2 linked regions of the Mus musculus genome follow. The protein of the gene in region 1 binds, or shares a complex with, the protein of each later gene. Links are inferred from orthologs where the notes say so. Each region holds a gene or a part of one and is shown on either strand. Other genes may lie near its edges. The genes, in order: Cdc45 and Mcm3.

Region 1 (4,605 bases):
TTGCTTCCTGAAGAGCACGCCGAGGCTCTGCAAACTCAAGACTTGTACACAAATAGCTAATGAAGAACAGGAGCAGGACTTCACACACACACATACCAGTCTCGCGGGCTGTTGCTCAATGCCAAAATGTTGCTGCAATGTCCCCTACAGCTTACCACATCACCAGCACTGTGTGGGTTAGGCTTGCAGTAAATCTTGGGCAGCCTCACGTGGCCTCCTCAATATTAGATCCTTTATCAAACAATCACTATAGGTAAAACCTTTCCTTAGTAACACCAAATTGCCTGCCTATGGGCTCACACCTGTAATACAACACTTTGAAGGCCAAGGAAGGAGGATTGTCCTCGGCTAGCAAATAAGATCTTGTCTCAAAATACTGGAGGTAAAAAACTCGACTGATATAAGTACTTCAAATTATAAATGAATCTCTTCCAAGTCATCCTAGAAGCAGCCAGGGACTCCAAATGCATTTTGACATGCCCTACCCATTCCCTATAGGGCCTTCAATAACCCATTCTCATCTGGTCCCAGGCAGAGGTAAGGAGTCTTGGTTCTACCGTTTAATTCCAAAGTGAAAACGTGTTTGATAACTGGAATGCATTTTCTAGAGATAACATAGAGCAGTAGTGTATCCTAATGAAATAAGTGAGGTTAGGACTGAACCCCCTCCCCAAGAGCAAGCATGAGCTGGATCTAGCCTGCTGCCCCCCACTCCCCCTGCACACATATGTAGCAAGTGCAGCTTCATCTTCACGTGGATCCCCAACAACTCAAGAGGGGGCTGCTCTGACTCTGTTGCCTTTATGTGGATTCCATTCCCCTAACTGGGCTGTTTTGTCTGGCCTCAGTGGGAGAGGTCCTGCAGTGACTTGATGAGCTGGGAGGGTGGGGGTGGGGGGGGTAACACCCTGTAAGGGGGGGTGGTTCTCCTTCTCAGAAAAGGGAATAGGAGGAGGTACTGTGGGGGGGGGTAACTAGGAGGAAGGAGGCTGATATGGGATACAAAATAAATAAATAAATGGAAACAACAAGTGAGGTCAGAGTAGGTGCTGCCCACAACTAAACTGTTTTTATTTTTGAGACAGGATCTTGTCGTGTAGCCCAGGCTGGCCTCAGTCTTGCTAGATGTAGTTCAAACCTACCTTAAATTGGTGGTTCCTTGGCAAATGTTGATTCCGCCACCATAACTTTAAGCCTAATAAAACTGATACTTCAAAAACACCCTTCTCCTACTTCAGAACTGGACAAATGCTAAGTATTAAGAACCTGCCACTGAGTAGAGTGGCCTAATTATTCTCCAATTCATTAGTTCATACCTGCTCTTTATGTTCAAGATATGCAGTTTCAAGTTCTTGCCACCCAGAAACCGGAACCAGCGTATACTGGACGTGGTCACACTGAAACAGGGCCTGGAGAGAGAGCATGTGGTCAGAAACCCTCATTAAAGATAACTTACCTGCAATCACCAGAAGCAGACTAGTTGAGTTGAGACAAAGATCTATGTGATATGCTGTTTGGTAAAAGGTCAATAGGAGAAGCTACGTGGCAAGGCTGTGAGCAAGAATTCAATCTGAATCTGTACAGTGTGCCAAAGTAAAACATTAAGAGAAAAAAAATACCCTAATTTTAATTACAGGGGTTCTGAAAAATTCCTAACCCCAGCACATTGTAAAAACCACACTATGAGCCGGGTGTGGTGGCGCACGCACGCCTTTAATCCCAGCACTCGGAAGGCAGAGGGAGATGGATTTGAGTTCGAGGCCAGCCTGGTCTATAAAGTGAGTTCCAGGACAGCCAGGGCTACACAGAGAAACCCTGTCTTGAAAAAACAAAAACAAAAAAACAAACCACACTATGGTCAGAGCCCAAACTAACAATCTTCTCTAATAGACTCGGGGCTCCTGTATTTCCTGCACTCCCTATTATACCACTCCCCACTGTCACATCTCCTCTCTCAAATTCCATCTTTGAGAGGTCATTTACAAATTCAAAGATTTCAGAAGTGAAACCATTTTCACTTGGGTTACTGTATAAAACACTACGTACTTGTCTCACTGTTTGCACTATACTTCTCTCTAGCTCCAGTATAGGTCAGAGAGGATATTTTGGGTTCCTCACCTCCTGCCTGCTCCTTCTGGTCCCTCCCCTTCTGTGACCTACCCCCTGCTGGGGCCAACCCTGATCTGTCACCTCTCCCTCCTGTCCTACCTTCCTAAGGTATTCAAAGCTCACCTGGAGGATCTTGCAAGCACACAAGGCATCCACGTCCGAGGCCACAAAGAGAAGGACCCTCTGTAGAAGCAAACGTGGACAGATGAGTTGAACACAGGGACGCTAAACTCTGTGGCAACTCTCTGACCTCCCGGCCCATCCACGGACACTCGCCCTCTTCTCCCCAGCCCCCAGATAAGGTTTGGATCAGGATCGTGGAATGGGAGTCACCTGGTTGTGGACCGTCTCGTAGAACTCCTTGCGGAAATCGGTCACGAACATAGCCACAGCGGCGGATACCTAGAACTGGCGCTGAGACACGGACAGCCCCGGAGGTCGTCAAGACTCCCGCCAAATCACAGCTCTTCTGATTGGTCCACGCCAGCAGCCAATAATTCTTAGCCTTTCCTCCTTTCTGATTGGTTCCTACTGGGGACAGCCAATAATGCTCTGCTATTCGCAGCTGGATAAGACCCGCCCGTCCCTCAAAAAATGAAACATCTTTCCTCAGGCTGCGAACCTTGTTGCCGGTGTTGACGCTAACGTCCAGTCACCCAAAACCACCTATGTTTGGCAGACATCTTTACTTCGGGAAGGAAGGTCTATTATCTGACCCTGGCATACTTAGAAAACAATATACTCTTAGACATAAAGTAAATTCAGTCACACATTATTTGAATGTGTTTCCAATAAGTTTCCAATACACGGTTCGTCGAATTAGAGTGAGCTATAGATTACTTCCGCCCGAATCCATGATGGCCGGGATCAACGCCGGAAACTCTAGCTGCATTCTGGGTATTGTAGTCCGTAAGGAGAACGGCTCCTATCAAGTTGTTTGGAAGAGAGTACTATCTAAACATTATAAACAGTCGCTATCCTGTGAAATCAATTATCAAGTGTTTTAATGTTTACTTTAAGTAATATTCAAACCTCAGGCCTTCCCATGACTTTCTGTTTTTCCGCCGCTGACTTCAGGCCTCCGTACCCCATCCCCTGCGGTGTTCCGTCACTTCCGGCGAGCCTCTCGCGGTTTCTGGGTTTCAGAGCAGTGGCCTGGACTGCAAAGAGGGAGCTGTGGGTTTTTATTGTAAGGTTCAGGAAAAGAAGCGGCATCACCAAACGCTGTCAGTCATGGTGAGTTGACCGGGGATCGCGAACCGGATGATGCCAGAGTTGCCCCTGGAGCTGGCAGGGAGGGCCTGGACCTGGTGGCGGAGGTGCCGAGTCACCCGGGCCTGCGTCGGGCCCCGACACTGTCCCGAGAGCTTCTGTCCCAAGTGGGACCCATAATTACGAGCCACCTCTTTTCTTCTTAGCTTGTCCGAGTCATGACTCGAATGCCTTTCGGCGGGACAGCAGCCCCGAGAGTAAAAAGGAACCTGCTACTTTATGTCGATAGTTCTCATAAGTGCTCGACACGCAACAAGTTTCCATGAACTCGGAGTTAACTGGAGATTTCTTGGGGGAGTGGCGCGAGGGAGGAGAAAACGAAGGACATTAAGCTCAGCCAAAGTTCCCTGACCTTTTATTTAGTAGAAATCATGTCTTAGGCTGTATGTCACGTTGTGTTCATCACGTTGTGATAACGACAATAGGTAATATGTAGTGCGCCTTTTTTCTATCAACGTATACTTATTTAATTCCTGCATTCCCCATGGAACATAGGTACGTAGTTATTATATTTACCGGTAGAACTAAAACTTAGAGAGGTGGTACTCAGGAAAGTGAGGCTCAGAGGTTGGAAGTCAAGTCCATCCGGCTGCAGTGATGTCTCATCACTCCTGTATATAGTGTTGACTCCGTGCCATTTGTTTGTTTGTTAAAAACAAGAAGTGATTATTAGATTTTTATCCTGAGTGTCACAGTAAGTCCCTGTCTAAGTTCATTTACATAACCAGCACTGAGTGTTTGATGTGTTAGGCATAAAAGCTTTAAAGGAAGTAACATGGATGATAGAAGCTCATGTTCATTGGTGGCTGAGTTGGAAGGATACCGTTCGGGTGTTGCATACTTCATGTACGTTGTTTATGTTCCAGAGAGAAGCAGTAGGTTAGATGGATGGCATAGGTGAAGATGCTTTGACGAGCACACACCCCCCACCCCCCAACCCCATGGCTCAAAAAAGGGCTTTGTGGGTTATGCACCTAAGACTGAGTCACACAGTTCTGGTACTTAAAGAAAAAGATAAAAGACTGAAGCACGCCTTTAATCCCAGCACTAGGGAAGCAGAGGCAGGCAGATTTCTGAGTTCAAGGCCAGCCTGGTCTACAAAGTGAGTTCCAGGACAGCCAGGACGATACAGAGAAACCCTGTCTCGAATAAACCAAAAAAAAAAAAAAAAAAGACTGAAAACTTGTGTACTAGTAACTGAAGAACAGTTTATTGGTGGGGGAT
Region 2 (4,498 bases), on another chromosome or scaffold:
TACTGCTTGGCGTAGGTGGCGTCAATGGAGGCCACGAAATCCTTCAAGGCCCGCTGGAAGGCAACCAGCTCCTCAAACGCATTGTTCAGGAGGCTGCGTGGGGTTGAGACAAAGAACAGTTAGACAGAGCTCAGGAAGCTGACCCTAGAAACAGGAAGGAACAACCTCGGGTCAGAGAAAGGAAATCCATGTCTACTTTGTGCTACCACTGTGTAAGACTGAAGTTATTCTCAATTCATCAAACATGTAAAAAAGGATGCTCAACACAACACTGGAAGATGGGAGTACCTGAGACCACCTCTTCTCTGGGAGACGACAACGACAGCCTGTATGTAGGTGAAGCCCATGCACTCTAGGTCTTCCCAATCTAAACAGGATGCCTTCCTCTCTCCCTCCAAAGCAGCGGGCCCCCGGGAAACCCTGTCACGGCTCACCGGTTAGCCCTCTTTTCATTCTTCCTGCGCAGGTCATTCACGCTGACAATCAGCCGATACTGATTGTCACTGATCAGTTCCCGAACCTTGTTCTGGTAAATGCCTTGGTCCTCCTGCGAAGCGCCAATAAGACATATTGAACAAGTGATTTGACATATTAAATTAGGACACAAGTCAAATGTGTTTCAGACCAGAAGCAACCCTGGAAACAAAACCTCTGGGCCCAGATGAACGCAAAGTCTGTTTTTCAGTCTCCCCCTTTCACCCGCTGGCCTCAGACCTCACCTACAATCTATTAAGAGACTCTAAGAATCATAAAGTCAATGTCACCTAAGAAACTGAGGGTCCCCTTTCTACAGGGTCTTGGTTTTATTCATAGCAAGCTTGGATCTCTAAAGCTGCCTAGGAGATACAAAGAGGAAAAATTGAATTCAGGTAGAGCATGGAGCTAAACTACAATTCCAGCACTCAGGCATCGGAGGCAGGAGGATCACCTCTGAGTCCAAAGCTAGGCTACAGAGTAAGATTCCTTCAAGAGCAACAGCCAAAAGAACAAGCAAGCAGATGGGTACACAGTGACAAGCTGTAAACACTGGTAGAAAGGGGTATCGTCGAGTGAGAGTAAGCCTGTCCTGAATCTAAGGGATTCCAGTAATATTAGAAGGTCAGAAGGCAGGCAAGCTCAGCAGTGGGGTCTACAACTGCATCAAGAACTTGGGGGTACTTAAGGACATATTACATAAAGGCTGGGTGGTCAGTTCTGTGTTCTTGCCCTCTGGTGTAACGTACTTCTGTCTTTCAGCGGAAAAATGTTCTTTCCTACATTATAAAACAGGTGTATGCCTTTCTGGACAAGGAGAACACACCTGCTGTCTCTATCAATAGAGCATTAAGGACCACTGAGCATTCAATTTATAAAGGGGTTACTGATCGTGGGGGTGGGGGAGGGTTCTATTTATACCATGGGAGGTCAGCATAAAGGTATTCAAAAGTCCTAAGCAGGGACTTGGGAGCTACTTAAAGCCTACACCAGCAAAGATGACACTAGCCACTATGTCACTTACACATGAGGATGCCAGCATGTTGATATATGTCTCAACGGTGCCCAGGAAGTAGACAGCTGCAGACAACCCTTTCCTCCTGTCCAGCATGCCCTATCACATACTATCATGATCATTAACAGTTCTCCTATATGCTTACATTTTAATTGGGAATTAGAATGGCCTAAGTCTTAAAGACTTAGTAAAAACAAACAAAAAAACTTGCAATATGAAAATTTAACTTTAAAATCTGGATGTTAGCACACCTGACTGTAGACATATTTCAAAATCATGATGTATATTTGAAATGTAATTTAAATACTCTTAAAATTCAAATTTAAATTGCTTTTCATTGATCAACAAACTTCCAGGGCTCATCAACATCCTATAGCTTTAAATTTTGGATTACACTTAAACCCATTTTACCTGCATACAAAACACTTGATTCACTAAAAAGAGAGCTGTCATAAATTGTTAGTCTCGCTCCTACCCTCACCAGCATCAGGCCAGTCATTAAATCTGAGGGCTCTGAGCCAGTTACATTAGCTTTTCCAAAGAAGAGCCTGTTTACACCTGACCAGTCTCCTTGCAAGTTGTGTGGGGTTTGGGGGGAACACATGAATTTAGAGACAAACTAAATTACTTTGGAGAAAACCCTAGTAACTCATGAAGATATACAGGAGCAAGAAAATGACAAGAGGAGATAATGAGAAAATGAAAATGATCAAAATACATTATGTGCTTATGAAGTTTCATAATGTAACCCGTATGTATAGTTAACATATCCTAATGTAAGAGGTTTCAAGAAAAATAGGCTGCTCAGAGGAAGACGGCAAGCACAAGGCCTGGGTACCATGTCAAGTAGGCTATGGGGATCAGTAGCAGTAATTATAAGAGGGAGTGATAAGAAAGAAATATGACCAAAATACATTATGTGTTTATGAAATTTCATAACGAAACTAATACATGAAAAGAATGTAACTTTTAAAATCTGGAGGTACATCTTTAGGAGAGAAAAAAAGATAACAGGAAGTTGCAGAGAAAAGAAGTTATCAGCGGCCCTGGTCCTCCGCGGGGTCCCCAGCACCGTGCCCGGTCACCCGCGGGAACCCCCTCAGCCGTGCCCGGTCACCCGCGGGACCCCAGCACCGTGCCCAGTCACCCGCGGGGACCACATCAGCCGTGCCCGGTCACCCGCGGGAACCCCATCAGCCGTGCCCGGTCACCCGCGGGAACCCCCTCAGCCGTGCCCGGTCACCCGCGGGACCCCAGCACCGGGCTCGCGGCCCGAGCCTCACCTCGTCATCCAGGAAGTCCAAGTAGTCTCTCTGCGCTTCCCGCAGCTCCACATCATCCAGCACTACTGTGCCCGCCATGTCGCAGCTCCGAAATCGCCGGCCACCAAACAGTCCGGAAACGCGTGACACCGCCTTGGCGCCAAAACTTCCCAAGTTTTCCCGCCACGGAAGTTTATGGTGGAGGAAGCATGGAGCAGAGACGCGTTATGATTGGCTAACCACTTCAATAGCCTTTCATTCCGTGCCTGGATTGGAGAGAAATGGTCACTTTCTCCGCCCTAATAGGAAGTCTGACCAATGGTACAGAGAGGACGCTCAAAACCCACCCCCTGGAAATTGAGCAACAGGAAGGCTAGGAAGCACTGCATTCTGGGAGTTGTGGTCCTTCCCACCTCACCCCCTGTTTTTCTTTTCTTTTTTTTTTTTCTTTGCCTGTAGGAAGTTTTGTCAAATCGGAAGTTAGGATTTACTGAGGGGGGAGGTCTAAGTTTGCACCCCATATGCACAGGTACAAATGAAGGCCAAAGGTTGATATCCGGTGTCTTCCTCAATCTTTCTCCACCTTGTATTTTTGAAAGACGAACAGGATACCCACTGACCCATCTCTTTAGCCTCCATATTATTGATTCTAACACACTTTGTCTTCTAGCCTTCATTTCCTCCTATACAAAATGAGGAATCTGAATTCAAAATTCTCCAGTAAGCCATCACTAGTATTCCAAGAGCAAGTTAGAAATGGTGTAAAGACAAATTTTATTCACGGAATCATGCTATTGCCTTTAACACAGCCTTGATTTGCTGTATCTTGATCTGTAACCTTGAAGACACAGAGATATATAATTCGTATTTCTCCCCACTTTCACAAGGTCATGAGATAGATAAGCAGAAAATCAGATTGTTAAAAAAAAAAAAAGCATAGTTAGTATATCTAAGGGTTCCACTGCTGTTCACATGCTTGCTTTGCTTGCTATCTGTTGGCTTTCTGCCTTAGGCACTAATGGGCCAAGGCTGATTTACAAGGTGAAATAATTGCTAAGAGGCTGCCTGGAAAGCAGCATGCAGAAACAGTCAAAATCAAGGCATTGCAAAGTATACAAAGTACTTCCTTTTTTTCTGTCTCCAGCCCAAAGAAAACACTTGGAGTGGGCGACCCTGAAGTGGAGAACAGATGAGTTATGGGTACCGGATGCCGCTTCCAAGATGATGCCCACCATGTTATCCTGTTGAAAGAGGGGACTGATAGCTCTCAAGGCATTCCTCAACTCATGAGTAACAGCTCGTGAGTAACATTGTCTGTGTTTGCCAAGTGATTGCTGGGGCTATAAGACCACCCTGGGTCCTCATGGCAACTTATTGTGGATGGCCAAGGCAAAACAACAATTTCTACTTCTGAAACTCCTCGATGGTGGACATCCTGCAGCAAAGACTTTAGTGGACATTGCCGGATCCGAAGACACTGACACTAGTGATGGCACCACCGTGGTGATCCTGCTGGCTGAGGAGTTTCTGAAGCAGGTGAAGTCCTGTGTGAAGGAAGGGTTATGCCCTCAGATCATCATCTGAGCTTTCTGCACAGCCACCCAAAATCAAAGAGATAGCTGTGACTATAAAGAAGCAAGATAAAGTAGAAGAGAGGAAGATGCTAGGGAAGTGTGCAGTGACAGCCCTGAGCTCCAAGCCCTGAGCTCCAAGCTGATCTCCCAGCAGAAGGCCTTCTTTGCCAAGG

What was found.
Region 2: Cdc45 (region 1) and Mcm3 share a complex: the UniProt entries of both Homo sapiens proteins name them as parts of the CMG helicase complex. The link is inferred for Mus musculus from reciprocal best matches to the Homo sapiens genes CDC45 and MCM3.

Annotation. Positions count from the first base shown.
Region 1 is NC_000082.6:18,809,073-18,813,677, forward strand, and holds the start of Cdc45 (cell division control protein 45 homolog), read right to left. Parts: upstream 2,901-4,605; 5' UTR 2,494-2,900; coding exon 2,443-2,493; intron 2,293-2,442; coding exon 2,233-2,292; intron 1,410-2,232; coding exon 1,317-1,409; intron 1-1,316. Other genes in the region: Ufd1 (ubiquitin recognition factor in ER-associated degradation protein 1), read left to right, coding at 3,343-3,345. UniProt on the Homo sapiens protein: Required for initiation of chromosomal DNA replication. Core component of CDC45-MCM-GINS (CMG) helicase, the molecular machine that unwinds template DNA during replication, and around which the replisome is built.
Region 2 is NC_000067.6:20,817,359-20,821,856, forward strand, and holds the start of Mcm3 (DNA replication licensing factor MCM3), read right to left. Parts: upstream 2,955-4,498; 5' UTR 2,851-2,954; coding exon 2,773-2,850; intron 548-2,772; coding exon 435-547; intron 94-434; coding exon 1-93. UniProt on the Homo sapiens protein: Acts as a component of the MCM2-7 complex (MCM complex) which is the replicative helicase essential for 'once per cell cycle' DNA replication initiation and elongation in eukaryotic cells.